Struthio camelus: one gene and its partner. The protein of the gene in region 2 binds, or shares a complex with, the protein of the main gene of each other region. Links are inferred from orthologs where the notes say so. Each region holds a gene or a part of one and is shown on either strand. Other genes may lie near its edges. The genes, in order: PPP1R8 and AKAP17A.

Region 1 (7,958 bases), on a different chromosome or scaffold from region 2:
AAAGTCCTTGGCATAAATAAAATTTGAAGAACTAATTACAGCAACTGTCAAAATGACTTTGAAAATTCTGCCTTCTCTCTCATTCCCTACTCCATGAGCAGACTCGCTCTCTGCCATGACCTTTGAATACTAAAGCAAATTCATTGTTCTCCATTCAGGTTCTTAAAACCTTGCTGAAGCCAGCTATTCATTTACTGGTTGCTATAGCCGACAAACTAGAAACAGGAAGCTTTGAGTCAAACACACACACACAGTAGATTACATTTAATATAACACACATGTGAATCTCAATTACATGAAGGCCCCAAAGACAGTGGAAGATTTCATATAGTCAAGAGCGTCAAATAACAAAACTACTGGTCCAAAGCCTGCTACTGCAAACCATTTTCACTCTGGAGGATCATAACTGCAGCTCACACATAGAGCAACTCTGCACATGAATCTGCGGTGAAAGACCTATCGTTATTCAGCCTCAAAAATCACGTGATCTTTGGTTTGCTCCAAAAGAAATAAAGCTTTAAAATTGTGAACATTGAATTTGTAATTTAGTAGGTGCCAGCAGAAGGAATGTAAAGTTTTTACAAGAAATATGGTATTTTACTTTTTTGCAGACTAGGAAATCAAAATTAGAGGTCAATAAATTCAACCTTTTGGGGAGGGGCTCCTCCCTCCTACTGGATGAGACAGTGGAGTACCATGAGCCACAGCTGCCTAACGTTTTCCATTTGCAGTTACTTATACTTTTAGCGGAATACAAACACTGTTATTGGAAGCTATCCACATTGGCTCCTTGCTACATACTAATTTTTCAGGCTTATGTAACAGCTTACCTGTTTTAATAGAAATGTTAAGCTTTCCCACACACACAAAACAAAAAAAGAACAAAAATACCTTACACCGAGATTATTTACCACATCTATTCACAACAATTTGACTAAGACCAAACTCTATCAGGTATGTATTTTACTCAGTAACTAACTAAAATACTACAATTTGTACATGTCCAATAGAGGTTTAGTGGAAAGTAAATAGTTTCTTGAAAACACAGAGGGAGAGAGTCCATATACTAGCTTTGTTTTACCTGAGGAGTATTTTAGAAAATTATACTAAAAGAATATTCAGGTTGCAAAAAGCTGATCATCAAAAAAATTTGGAAGTGTCACAATGAAGATGAGTTATGGTACTTGAATATGGTTCCCTTACTCATGGGTGTGAAAATTCTGGCTTTAATCAGACCCCTGACTCCCCTTCCACTTCATTTTTCTATCATTCAGCACAATGGATTTGTGCTTCAAAACCAGTTCATGCTAGCACAGTGAAGGAAGCTGTCCGTCTGTAAGACCCTACCCTGTTTGTAGCAGAAGCCAGAAAGTACATAGCTAAAGAGGCCCTCACAGTTATGGCTGCTACAGTTCTCTCCAGATGGCATTTATTTAGGAATTCTTCTGCAATAGCATGCAACTGCCTGAACTAAACATTTAACAAGTTACACCTTTTCAGCTATTCAATCTAAGGCTTCCAGAGGCAGAAATCTCTAGTATTTACTACTGAATACAGTGCAAGTTGTGAACACCGTGCTACAAAAATACTATGAAAAAAAAAATTAAGGACCTATGTCAAATTCCAGGTTGAACAACCAGAATGTACTGACACTGTGCAATTAGTAGGTTTACCTACTCCATCACACCATCATTACACAGACCACCATCTTGTCTCATACAGATGTTTGTTATTACATACGCTTACCATAGACAACACGGTAAAATACAGGAGAAATTCTCTTCCATGAGAGAGTTGAATGACATTCACTGATTAAAGCAAGGACTTATAAAATAAGTGAAAGTTAAAAAGCACATTTACTAAGCATCCATTCACTGAGCACTATCATCCAAACACTGAAGAAAAGTATGGGACCCACAGTAAAAAAAAGATGATTATGACTATGCAAATAAAGACTGTAGTCATGCACATACACAGGCAAGGACTAATTAACTAATACAAAAGTGGTTGAATTTTCAGCTCTAGTGCTATGTCATTTTCCATGTAATTTAAAGTACGTGTAACCTGAATAATCAGTTGAAAAAGAAGATGGCACAGCAAATGCCTATTTAGCCACCTATCCAAGAACCCGAAGAGAACAAAATAGGATCCTAGAAAGCCTAATCTAAGGCCCTGCTCTCAACAGAAGGTTGGACCAGATGATCTCCAGAGGTTCCTTGCAACCTGCACTTTTCTATGATTCTAAAACCAACCCTATTCATGTTTCTAATATTGCTTCTTCAACACATCACTTTGACTTCCTACTCAATGCAATATAAATCCAGGCTAGTTTTAAGTTGATAGACTTTTTTGTACGGTATACGTAGCTTAAGTAGGAAATTTAATCTGTCCTGTATCATATGCTTTGTTTAAGCCCTTGCAAAAACACAAAGCATCTCCTGAAAGCACTCTGAGCTTCAGCCAACTCTGTATTTCGGCACTGAACCAAGATAACCCGCAGGCACTTGCTGATGAAGGATGCATCCGCAGGGCTGCACTTCTCAGAGCCCCCTGACAGGGCCCAGCACCCCGGGGGGGGGGGGCAGATAGCTACTGCCGCTCCCGGCTGAGGGAGCCCAGGCCCGGGCAGGCAGCCTTGTCCCCGCGCCCGGGAGACGTCGTAGCCCCGCGGCCCTGCCCGGTCCCAGACTCCCCTCACATGAGCGGCCGCCACCAGGCCCGGTGCCACTCCCCCGGCCCGGCTCGGCCCTGCCCAGCCCGGCGGGCACCAGCGCTCCGCCGCAGCAACCGCCAGCCCGCTCAAGGCCCGCGGCGAACCCAAAGGCGAGGGCCCCGGCGGAGGGCGACGGCGCCGGCCCGCCCGCTCACCAGCTAGGGCACTCGAAGAGCGAGAGGCCGCCGCCTCCGGCCGAGTTCGCATTCGCCGCCATCTTGCATCTGCCCCATTCAGGCGGGCCGAGGGCAGGATGGGAAACAGGCGGACCCGAGCGAGAAGCAGTCCCAGAGTGCCCCGCGCGGCTCCGCCAGAGCGAGGCGGGGCGGGGCGGGGCAGGGGCAGGGGCGGCGGCGGCGGCGGCGGGGCGGGGGGGGGGGGGGTTGGCTCCAGCTCGCCGCCCGCCTCGCGCCCCTCCCCCGCTCCGGGGGGTGCGCGCGCGCCCGGCGGGGCCGCGCTCTCCGCGGTCACCGGGGCGGCTCGGCGGCCGCGTCAGGCCCCGGCGGGGGCCCAGTGCCGCCCCTACGCCCCGGGGAAGGCTGGAGGAAGCGCCTCGGCCCGAGGCAGCCTCGTACCCGCCCGAACGTGGCTCAGGGCGGTTTCTTAGGAAGACGCGAGGGGCGGCCGGTCCGGGGCGGCTCTGCCGGGTTAGACCGCAGCCGACCGGGACGCACTGCCCGGTCCTCGGCCTCTGCCCGCCCAGCTGACAGAGACACGCTGCGCTGCGCCTTAGGCCTTGGACAGCGCAGACGCTTGCCGATCTTAGTGTTCCTGCCCCTCTTCCTTCCGGGCCTCATCTCCCCGCACCCCAGGGCACCAAGAAGGCCCTGTAAGTTACATCCATGTCATTAAATTCCTCAAAAAGAAACCGAGAAACGCTACATAACCTTAGCTATTAAAACACATTTTTACTTCTACCATGGGGCCTTCCTTCTAACTGCTTTTGGAGAAGGAAGAGGTGGATAAAAACAATGAAAATGTTAGCAAGTATACAAAATTGCAGAGAAATAAGCTAAATGCAATGCTTCTGCAACAAGTTTTTTAAGACTCCTTTTACAAGCATTCTAGCTAGATGACAGGTTTTTTCAGGATCCTTCTCAGCTTTTTGAATAAATTTTAGGTAGAAAACAAATCAGATGGTAGCTAATATTGATGATATACTTTCTTACTGGTATAGATAATTGAGCCCGTAAGGGGAAAAACTAGTTTTCACCAATAATCCCCAGCTCCCCCAAGAGCTGTCACTAAATCGATCAAACACCCCTGAGCACTGCAGGAATAGCTATCACTACAAAAGGGGCAAGTAAGCTTATTCCATCCCTGGATCTCATTGTGAGAGGTAAACTTCCTGCAATAAATTTTCAGTAGTTAGTACAGTGGTAGCAAACAATCCCTGAGGCAGGAAAGTTCTCTCATAGTGCCATGGTGCTGCAGCAAGGGAGATGAGAGTTTCTGCTTGCAATCCTTCACATTCACGCATCTTCGTTAAGACCACTGTTAAAAAGAGCAGTGGGGCTCCTGCAGAGACTCAGTTCAACAAAGCAAAGGAAGAGAAAGGAAGCAAGTAATTCTAGCAGTCCTGACTCAAGGAAGCACTTGTGTTGTCTACTTCAGTTTCAGGCAGCTGCAACTGATTTAGGTTAGGACAGAACCTAAAAATAATGCACCCAGGCTCTCTTTAAAAATGGTGAAAAAAGGGCTTTTATTTTCATATGAAAGTGTAATATCAAAAAGAAACTCCCCATGCAGCAGGCAGTGCATAAAGCAACAAGATCCACCATTCAGGAGGAGTAGAACAACACATACTCATTTCCCTTGCTTTTGAGTCAGCTTAACTCAGTAAAGACTGAGTCCCAGCAGTAGGCAAACAGTCCAAGTTTACCAATCAACATTCAAGGAAGCCAGATTCATCTTTCTATGATCAGTTACTGGACAGGACTGCTGCACAGGAGTTTTGTATATGTCCACAGGGAAGTCATTCCATGTTTTTACCTAGGTTAGCTTAAGAAAAATCAGGGACTGTTGAACTTAAAATGGAGGAAACACCACTAAAGCAGATATAAAGTCTTCTACACTGATTGCAAAGAGAGGCAGTTGCAAACAAATTGGAAAATAAAGACTATGACAGAGGCTTTTAAAAGTGTTTATTGACAGTTATTAGATGGAATGATGGCGCAATAGTGCAAAACACTGTGCAATTGGGAGCACACACTCCCTTCCCAGCTTTCACATTTACTTTATTATACAGGAGACATGGAATAAGGATTAAATACAAAAATGGGTCAGTATGCTGCATTTGCCACACTGTGATGGGCTTTGGACAGATTACTGTTCCCTCAGTGCATGTCAGTTCAGAGCTACATCAGAGTGGGGAGTGGCTGCTATGTTCTCTCTAGCTCTACTAGCGAGACATTAATTCAACTAGAGATCTTTTTCATTTGTACACACATCCTCAAACAGTCTTAAAAACCTAACACTTCACTCAGCCAAGTGCTGCACTTTCTATTTCATAAACAGTGGAAAATACCAAGTGTTCACAAGCAATATGTAATATTCACTGGTACACTACAAGCGAGCTTCGAGAGTACTTCTTTAGAAGCAGCATTTCAGGTAATACTCACCTATCTTGCTAGCTTGTAAATTTAGGTGCCCACTTTCTCATCTTTGCATGATTTTCTCCCTAAAAGCTTCTAAAAAGCAATTAGGAGTGAACAGCTAAACTTTTTCCCCCACTACTTAATATGGATTTCGTGCACCTTAGTATTTCTAGTGTTTGAGAGTCAGCATTGGAAGAGTTTTATTTGTCCAATAATAAACCACCAGCCAGTTTATCTAAGGAAATTGCATCGTTAGATTATCCTAAGTCAAAGGTGTTCTGTCCTCACAAATGCTGCATTTGAAGAAAACAAACAATGCCCCTTCCCCCCCCCCTAAACTCCACAAACCACCAACTGTGCTCAAACATTAATAGAACAGTTACAAGTCTCATGGCTAAACTGACCAGTTACTAAGCACACTAGTGGTTCCAACTGTGGTCATCCATGCCTACTTCCTACCTTCCAAATCTGTAGTAGCATCTTTCTCTATAAGAGAGTTTAGAACCATGGCCACCTGGAGACTAATTAAACCATGGGGAAGACACTGGAGACTTTAGAAACTGCTGGATTAAGGTAATGCAAATCTGTATTGTGCCCTCTTTGAATGTCATTCTTATTCCAGTCCAAAGTTACCTATACATACAAAATGTTAAAATTGTGCCACTTGCCAAAAAACAAGACATCTCCAATTATTGATCACACTTCAGTATACATTTGGGACAGGGAATAATACATTACAGAAGGAAAAAAACCACAAGATCTTAGTTACATAAAACAATGTAATTTGTATATAAACTGATAAATACTGTCTCCATGGTTCACTAATTCCATATACTAGTTATCTGCACATTAGTTGCTAATATCTATTACTAGAAGAAGTTCCGGCTTCTGCTCTCTCAAGGTGGTCAATTCATTTCTGAGACTAGTCAGCCTGTTCGCTCTGGGGGAATGAGAATTGCTCTCTGCAATGAGATTAGGTTCCACATGAAAATTTCATTTTGTTGCCTGCCAGATAACAAGTCCTAGGATTAGAGAAGCCACAGCAAGACCAAGAATCAGGATACAGATCTTCTTACGGGATTTCTTCTAATGGAAGAAGAAAAAAAAGCCATTGACACCAAGAACAGAGGACAAGAGGATAGATTAGAGCACTCTGTACCCATCCTTATTCAAGAGGAGTGTACAGACTACACGGCTTAAGCATTCTTTAAACAGCATGATTTTATAGCTAGCTGTTTTCAGTTTCAGCATAGTCTAAGAGGTGCAGTTAAGTCAAAAATGTGTCAAGTCTCGCTTCTCTCAAGGAAAATACAAGTTTCACTCAAATTGCCTATAAAAAGAGAACCTGACAGCATCTAGCATATGCTTTTCATACCTAAGGTAGGCCACCAGAGCTAGAGGAAAACTAACTACCTCTAGCTATTTGGATTTTCCAGCTAAGACAAGTAATAACTGCTAACTAGTTCCCTGATATAATCTCTCCTTGGTCACCTGGAGTTGGCATGGAGATTGTATTGCATTTCTACAGTTTAAAAGCTTTGATAAACAGTTATGGTACTTGGATTTTACAGTTTTGATCACTTTTAATCATCACAGAAAGCTACAACCTGTCCATATATACAGAATACTTTTATCTAAGGATTTGAGGTTAGTTATATAAAACCTCCTCTGCCCAGAAGAATATGTCCAATACATGTCCAAAATCTGCCAGACTTGGCTTTATCATACCTTGAAGATTCACTTTATAATGGAACCCGTGGAAAGAGAAAATGATACTATATCCTGGCAGCTGGCAAAGGCTACTTTCCCTCCCTGCAGCTAAACAGCACAGGAGTTTTATTGCCTTCCAATATCTCCTCACTTAACAGCTTGAGGAAGTCCAGTTTCCTATCTGGTATATTGTCCTGAGGTACCAGCAGTAAAACTCTATACTGAACTGACTGACTGACAGAGCACCCCCATTCTTTCATAGAATCTAAACCCCCCAAGGACAATCAGGAAAGGAGCCTACAAGAAAGCGCTAAATATAATAAACAAAGAAGTTTGCAGTGGCTGTCACTGCTCCTTACAGAGTTGATGGGACTTAGGACAGACCAAGGAACGGGAACTGAGCAGTCAGAAAGGTCCTGCAAATCCTGGTGAGCAGAAACTGCCCAAGTTTGTATATGGATTTTTTTCACATCCGTGTTTACACAAAGTTCTGTAGAGTATTGTCTTGACCAGCATATTTACAAGATGGGTACATCATGAGAATTTATTCTCGTTTAACTGTTTCGCTACCTTCCGAGAACGGCAAAGCTAGGCACTTAAACTCATTGAGCACATCTACGTGAAGGAACAAAATGACGGCATATCCTCTGCGTTAGAGGGCTAATTTCAATGCTGTGTTTCTCACTCAAGCGCTTTATTTATTCCTTAGAGTACAGCTTTGTGGAAGTGCCAGCTTGCATAAGCTGTTTTTAAGAACTTGTTTGGCATGCTGCAGTCCTCATTATATGTCTTGTTATGCCTGTACCATGTTGCACAAGTGTATGTTGACATTAATACAAAGCATACAGAATTTACCTGATAATAGGCAGCTCTCTGTAACTGCTCACTGGCTCTTTCCACATGGACTTCTGCACTTTCCACATTTGCCTCTATGCTGT
Region 2 (7,458 bases):
TATAGATGCTAATTCCTCTTTGGCAAAAGCAAGAAGTAGATTTTTTGTTTGTTATTTATATTAAGTGTAACATTAAGTGCGACAGTAAGCACAGCGCACTGAGGTAAATTGGTAGAACTATCGCGCTCTGCATCGGATACTCCTAGTCTGTGCTAACAAGATGAATTCCTTGTTGTACAGATGAATTAAGAGGGAATGGAATTATCTTTGTATATAGTCATATTCTACTTATTTAAATAGAATACAACAATTAGGTCTGTAGAGGACCAGTTACAGGAAGTGATGTTTAATTCCAATTAATTGAAATTGCCCCATGTCAGCACACAATTCTTCTAACGACATGTATTCTTCCCAAGGCAGACAATCATAAGCACAGTTTTTACTGACACATAGCATTCAGTTAGACCAAAAAAAAAAAAAAAAAAAAAAGGAGCAGAGATAATGGAAGCAAAGTGAAAAAAATAGAACTGTTTCTTGCCATAGAAAATAAAACAATGCATCATGTGCTGCAATTCTATGCTTCTACCCACTTAGAGGCTTCAAGGCATCAGGGCTTAATTTTGTTTTGTGGGTAGAGCCAATTTAATGTCTGGAAACATCATTTTTACTCTTTTCAAGAATTACGCAATCTATTGGTCCAAGTCTTCTGTGCTGCTGCTGCATCCACCTCCAGCTACTATCCATAAACAGTTTGATGGTACAGTGAATCACTCTGGTTTTTTTTTTCAGTAGGAGAGAGAACAAAGAGATGTTCTCTGTTAAGTGACAACAGAAAACAGAAATCACACTGAAAGTAATCAAAGGCTGGTAAGGACTGTAGCTGTTTCTAAAAAGAAATATACTAGGAGTATTTATGGACTTTATACAGCAGAGAAGATTTAGATGATCACTGGAGACAAATCAGTCTCAAACAGAAAAAGCCAAGTTTTAAGCTAAAAAGAGCTCCTCCTCTTTGGTATTTTTCAGAGGGGAAGAAGCAAGGAAGGAATGGAAGTAGCACTGCTGCTTTAATGCATTACACATGTAGCTTCTTGCATTCATTGCCACAAATGATCATTAAAGGCAAGAGCATGGTGCAGAATGAACAGCGGAATAAGTATACAGATAAGACCACGCACAGTAAGGAGAATTGTGTCCTCTTGTAAGAAAAGCAGAATAGTGTGTATTAAGGCATGAATACAAAACTTAGTATCTGCTGTTTATAGTCTATTTTAATTGTGTTTGTGAATACATGTATAGATAGATTTTGTGCATATAGATAGATAGATAGATAGATAGATAGATAGATAGATAGATAGATAGATAAAACAAGGGCTCCCTCTAGTGAACTTTTAAGGGATTCAAAGTGTGGTGGTTGTGACTTCTAAAGATACAAGCAGACAAGGTTTGTAGGTAGAAATCTTATCTGCTATTAGACCACTTGTTGAAGTTGAGCAAGACACACAAGTCACTTTTCAGGTCTCTAGCACAATATATTTGTTGCAGTTGGGGAAATGGAATGTGTTACAGTGACAACCAGATTGAATGCACTGTTATGCTTGGATACTGTCACTGATGTTTACCTTGCCTGTTCATGCTTCCTCTTCCTGGTATGTGTGATATGTGACCTATTTTCTGAAACGCAAAAGGAACCATTTCATTTAGTCACTTAGGTATCTCAATATAGTTTATAAAACAAACAAAACAAAAATGCACATCTACTAATTGTATTTGTGCAGGCAGAAAGTTTACCCTTGCCACATCTTTTATATCTTTCTAATGCGCATTTCAACTGTTTCTTCTTGTCCACAGCCTTTACAATATTATTCAATATAACATCACATTCCTTTTTCCTTTCCCCTACCGTGTTAGATAATACATTTGTAACATTCCTTTCAGCCGAGAGTATATCAGAAAAATAGTCTGTGAAAGATATTATGGTTATGGTTGGTAGCACAACATGGGTAACCTTAATTCTATCATTTTGTAAATTTTCAGGCACAGGATTCAAAACTGTTGCCCTACATAACATCTCACTCCACTTCTACTGAAACTACGTGGAATGTGACTGCTTTGTTCACTCCCAAATGAACTTTCAAGATTTTAAGAGAAAGCGTAGCATACGATGCAAGTATTCTCCAACTATCATACATGAGCTATTTCAAGGTGTTGTACAGTGGCAACAGCTTCTGATTTTGTCTTTGTACAAATACTTAACTAAACCGTGGAATGCATATTTCTGTGCAAGAAATTAGAGGAGGGTTGGCAGTTACCAACATCCGTGATGTGAAATAACACTTCTATACAACAACTGCGGTCTCACAAGGACTGCTGGATTGGTGGTAACTTCCTGTGTTGTGTTTTGACCTATGCTTTAGAGTCATTATTTCCATACAGTGGTTATCACCAGTCTGCTGCCACAGGTAACTGCAGTCCCTGTTTCTCAGCCTGTGGGAGCTTACCTAAGGTGGGACTGGGTGCCTGCTTTCATATGCTGCAGGGGGAGCAGGTGATGTGGAGAGAACGGGTAAGTCACTGACTGAGGTCAGGAGGATGGAAGCAGTAATGGCTTGTGGGCTAGGGATATGCAGCAAGAAATCGAGAGAGGTAGGTGGTGGCATGTGATTATAGGGCCGGTGTTGAAACCGGGGTCAAGAACATGCGATCATTGGAGGGTGATGACAGAGCAGATGGAGGCAAGCCTTCTCCTGTGCATGTGTGCTGACCTATGCAGAGTTGGAAACTTTTGCATCCCGTACTTACACTGAAGTATGAGCAAACCACCAGTGGTAAAACTATAGTGGGAAGCTTTGATATTCTGTATTATCTGCAAAATAGTATAAGATCATATAAAAATCCTGTATTTTAGGTTCAGCCAGCCTATTTGTATTTTGGGCAAAACAGACATAAAAATCAAACAAGCACGAAAGAAGTAACTGTCCCCTGCCCTCACTACTGCAACTTAAATACCTTTTTTCACTAATATAAACTGAAGACCAGGAAAGAAAGAGAGCACATTCAAGAGACCAGGTATTTTGGTATGCCTTGAATATATTTACTAATGAACAATTATATAAACACTTGTCAATACTTTATATATTTTCCGTTCTTTTTTCCCCTCTCTTTCCCTCTGTACATGCCGGGCAGTTAAAAAAATTCCTGAATATTGGGAACACCAAGGACGTGATGCAGTTAAAGACTAGGACCTCTACACTCAGGTGCCTACACGCAGACGTCCACCTGTGACCTAGGGGCAGGATTCAGCTGCCTGGCAAATGGGCCTAGCGCCTACTGAGGTGCCCTAAGGTACCCGAGACGTCGTCAGGATTTGAGGAGACTCACAGCCTCCTAGAGCAGCAGCCAGAGACCCAGCAGGACCCAGACCCCACAGCTCCTGCGATGACACTGGAAGCTCAATTCACTTGTCTAAACATGTGTGCCTACAGCCATGCAGGTTGTCAGCATAGCCTCCAGCTGCCAGTATAGACAGGTTTCCTCCACGAACAATTTTTATAATTATTTTCGTAATTATGTAGGATAATTTTTAGCCCCATATACATAACTTGGGTATCTTACAGCATCTTAAATAGCATTAGGCACCCATGTTCATACGACTAAATTGTGTCTGGTTGATTTGTGAGATTGTTTATAAATACAGGGTTTGGGTTCTTTTTCCCAGAAAAGCACAAACTATCAGAAGTGTGTGGGAGGCTATTTTCCTTGGTAGACAGTGACTCCGGAGGCCCCAGCACTGCTCTCGGCAAGGTGCTCGGTTTCTGCCCTCTCATCTCCCAGTAGGTAAGAAGGAAACGGTGAGAAAGATCTTCTTGGAAAGCAGGCCTGTTGGCACGCACCGAGCGCAGGCAGGCCAACGCTGCTGCGCAGCGCACGCCTGACAGGGAGAGCAAGAAGCAAGGGCCTGCTTTTCACTAGAAACTAGTGGAGTCACTTTGCCGGCAAGTTTCCAGCGCGAACAGAAAACAGGCCGTGACGCTGTCATTGCCAGCAGGGCCACAGAGAGAAAATGAGGTCAGAGAGGGCCAAACAGAAACACCAAGCAGGCCACGACCCACTTTCTAGGCAACTGGGCAACGGAGCAGAAACGCAGTTCCTACCAGCCTTCACACAAAACTGACGCTTGCGGGGGAGTTTTAGGGCCCCGCAAGCCGCGCAACTGCGCCTGCGCCGCGGCCCTCCCGCCCGCCCGCCGGCCTCCCCTCCCCGCCGCCTGGTGTCGCCCGCTGGAGCCGCGGCCCCGGCGCTACCATAGAGAGCGGCTCCGCCCCTCCCCTTTGCCGGCCAGGACGCCTCCCCCGCTAACCCCCCCCACCCCCGGCCGACGCGGAAGCGGAAGCGGGCCTAGCGGCGCGCGGTGGCGGTGGGGGGCGCGGAAGGGACGGGTGCGCGGTGGGCGGCCGTTTGCTGGGGGTGGGAGTCCGCCGCGCCGCGCCGGGCCGGCTGCGGTGAGGCGGCGCCGAGGCGGGCGCGGTGAGTCTCCCCGTGCGGGTGGTGGTGGTGGTGGTGGTGGTGGTGGTGGTGGGTGGAGAGGCCTCACTGTGCCCTGGGAAACCGGCAAGGGAGGGGGCAGCGGCGGGCCGGGCCGGCCAGCGGGGAAGGCCGCGGCTCCCCCCCCCCCCCCCGCGCCCGCAGGCGGCTCGTTGCGCAGCCGGACGTGCGGCCCGCACGCAGGGGTCACTCGCTGCCGTTTGGCTGGTAGCGCGGGCTGGAGGGCTCCCAGCCTCGCCGTGCCGCTCAGGCTGCTCTGCGGTAACCGGAGGGCGAGGAGGCTTCTGGCTGGAGGGGGGGGAGGAGAAAAAAAAAAAAAAAAAAAAAAAAAGCAGTGTTCTTCTCTCATTGCAGATACCCTATGAGTCTTTAGAGTGGAGAGCGTGGAGTCTGTCCTCAGTGCTAATCTGCTGTGGTTTATGTGTTGTTAAGTAGACTTCGAAGCCGTGTGACATCACTCCTCCTGTTCCTTTCTTCCTGAAAAAAGGGTAGCTGCTTTCTGAGCCATCGCATACCAACTTCATTTATTCCTAGATTGTCCTCAGCGTCTTGTTTTTTCTGAGGCCTTACTGAGATTTAGTTGTTTATGGGCTCAGGTGGTTATAAAGTAATTTAAGATGCTTGTGTTACTTGATTTTAACTCTCTAATTGACTTTTATATTAAGAGACATTGGTTTTACTTGGGAGTGATTAAATGTCCAAGGAGTTCAATTCTTTATGCATAAGGGCTATTTTATTTGACATTTTTTGGCCTACAACTTAAACTTTCATCTTTATTCTTTTTATCCTATGCTTTTTCTGTGTTATGGCTGCTGCAACAATAGTTCATGATACATCAGAAGCTGTAGAGCTCTGTGCTCCCTGTGGGTTATATCTTAAGCCCATTACAAAAATGACCATCAGTGTGGCACTTCCTCAGCTGAAACAACCAGGAAAATCCATTTCAAACTGGGAAGTTATGGAAAGATTGAAAGGTATGGTGCAAACTCATCAGTTTTCTACTCTGCGGATTTCTAAAAGCACAATGGATTTCATCCGGTTTGAAGGAGAGGTTGAAAACAAAAGTTTGGTGAAGTCTTTTCTGGCATGCCTTGATGGCAAAACAATAAAGCTGAGTGGCTTCTCTGACATTTTGAAAGTCCGTGCTGCAGAGTATAAGATTGACTTTCCCACCAGACATGACTGGGACTCTTTTTTTCGTGATGCAAAAGATATGAATGAAACTTTGCCAGGGGAAAGACCAGATACTATTCATTTGGAAGGCTTACCTTGTAAATGGTTTGCAGCAAAGGATTCTGGCTCAGAAAAGCCAAGTGAGGAAGTTCTCATAAAAGTTTTCAAGAAATTTGGAGAAATACGTAATGTGGACATACCTATGCTGGACCCTTATAGAGAAGAAATGACTGGCAGAAATTTCCACACTTTTAGTTTTGGAGGCCATTTAAACTTTGAAGCCTATGTTCAATATCGGGAATATGCAGGTTTCATTAAGGCCATGAATGCCCTGCGAGGGATGAAGCTGATGTACAAAGGCGATGATGGCAAAGCAGTGGCTTGCAATATAAAGGTGAGAACTACAGGCTCTTGTATAATAACCCATGTTAAAGAACAGATGCCACTAAAATCCTGTGGACTAGCTGTAATAGAATGTTGAAAGGAAAATGATAGAAAGAAGAAAAATGTGTTATGTTAGGCACAGAATGGGTGGGGTTTTTTTCCTTTTTCTCAATGGAAGGACCAAATACATGAGTATGACTTGTTCATGATTTGTGATTTTTGAAAATTAATACATATCTATAAATATTGTCATTTCTCTTAAAAATTATAATTCTGAACAAGTTCAGACATATTTCGCTAGAAGGTTGACTTAAATGAAATGTCCTCTTGTGTACACCACAAATGGAATTTTTGGGGGAGAAATTCACAGCCTCCTACACTGACAATGAGGTCTACCAGACAAGTGTCAGGATTCTGAAATTTAATAGTCTGTGACCTATAAGACCTGTGGAATGCACCAATTGATCATGGTTAGTGTACTTCACGTACGGAAAGGCCTTAAAAAAAAAAAAAAAAAGTACATGTTAAACTGTAGCACAATTTCCTGTGAATCCAGTATGTTGAATTCATAATATTTACATACCAAGATTTCCAGATCTTTTCTTTTTGTGCAACCTCATTGTCTTAGAAAACAGAACTATGGCAGGAGAGGACAACGCGTCCTCTTCTGATGTAATGTCAATGAAAGTATGGCCTAAGGACGACTGCTCTGATATACTTGGAGTTTGTCCATCCAGTTATGTATCAGTTGAGTGAAATGTTTGCTTACTTATTTCAGTGGACTTCATAGTCATTCATCAAATCAGGATGTGTATTTCAGGAAAAAGCTTGACTATTCGTTTTTGTAATACGGGAACATGTAAATACTTATTTAAGTTTTATTTTATTAAGTAGAATACTATAATCTTGTTACAAAGCTTGTCAGTTGGAGCATAGAAACTCTTTAGACCTTAACTTTTTTATTTTCCAGGGGTTGTGAAATTCAGACTGTCACTTACATACACTGGATCAGGGTTCCCAAATTTAGTTTGTCCATGCAGGAGGAGGAATGCTTTCCTGGCAGCTGCCCTGGGGATTGAATAGGAAAGGGAGAGGGCAATGTTTGCAACTGTGCTATCAGGACAGATCTCCTTCATACATAGTTACAGTGCTCTGACCTTTCCAACTCTGCTTCTCTCTGTCCATCCTTTTAACCTGCTAGTGGAACATCGTTTTACATACAGTCGGAATGAAATAAATTGTGGAGTACTTACTCTTTGCCTTGCACCCCATGGTTTGTATCTTCCGCTGGCTAGGGGGTCTTTGGGAACACACTATGGATCTTTCTATGCCTGCATAGATGGTATCTAGTGTGGGAAATCAGGACACCTGGAGTGTGATGTATGCTGGGATCCTGTTCCAGCACATGATCGACCA

The links.
Region 1: AKAP17A (region 2) and PPP1R8 share a complex: the UniProt entries of both Homo sapiens proteins name them as parts of the spliceosome. The link is inferred for Struthio camelus from reciprocal best matches to the Homo sapiens genes AKAP17A and PPP1R8.

What each region holds. Positions count from the first base shown.
Region 1 is NC_090964.1:2,894,891-2,902,848, forward strand, and holds the start of PPP1R8 (nuclear inhibitor of protein phosphatase 1), read right to left. Parts: upstream 3,129-7,958; 5' UTR 2,931-3,128; coding exon 2,869-2,930; intron 1-2,868. Other genes in the region: STX12 (syntaxin-12), read right to left, coding at 6,304-6,396, 7,876-7,958. UniProt on the Homo sapiens protein: Inhibitor subunit of the major nuclear protein phosphatase-1 (PP-1). It has RNA-binding activity but does not cleave RNA and may target PP-1 to RNA-associated substrates. May also be involved in pre-mRNA splicing.
Region 2 is NC_090942.1:147,316,621-147,324,078, reverse strand, and holds the start of AKAP17A (A-kinase anchor protein 17A), read left to right. Parts: upstream 1-4,312; 5' UTR 4,313-4,379; exon of another isoform or gene 4,380-4,467; intron 4,468-4,839; 5' UTR 4,840-5,290; coding exon 5,291-6,052; intron 6,053-7,458. UniProt on the Homo sapiens protein: Splice factor regulating alternative splice site selection for certain mRNA precursors. Mediates regulation of pre-mRNA splicing in a PKA-dependent manner.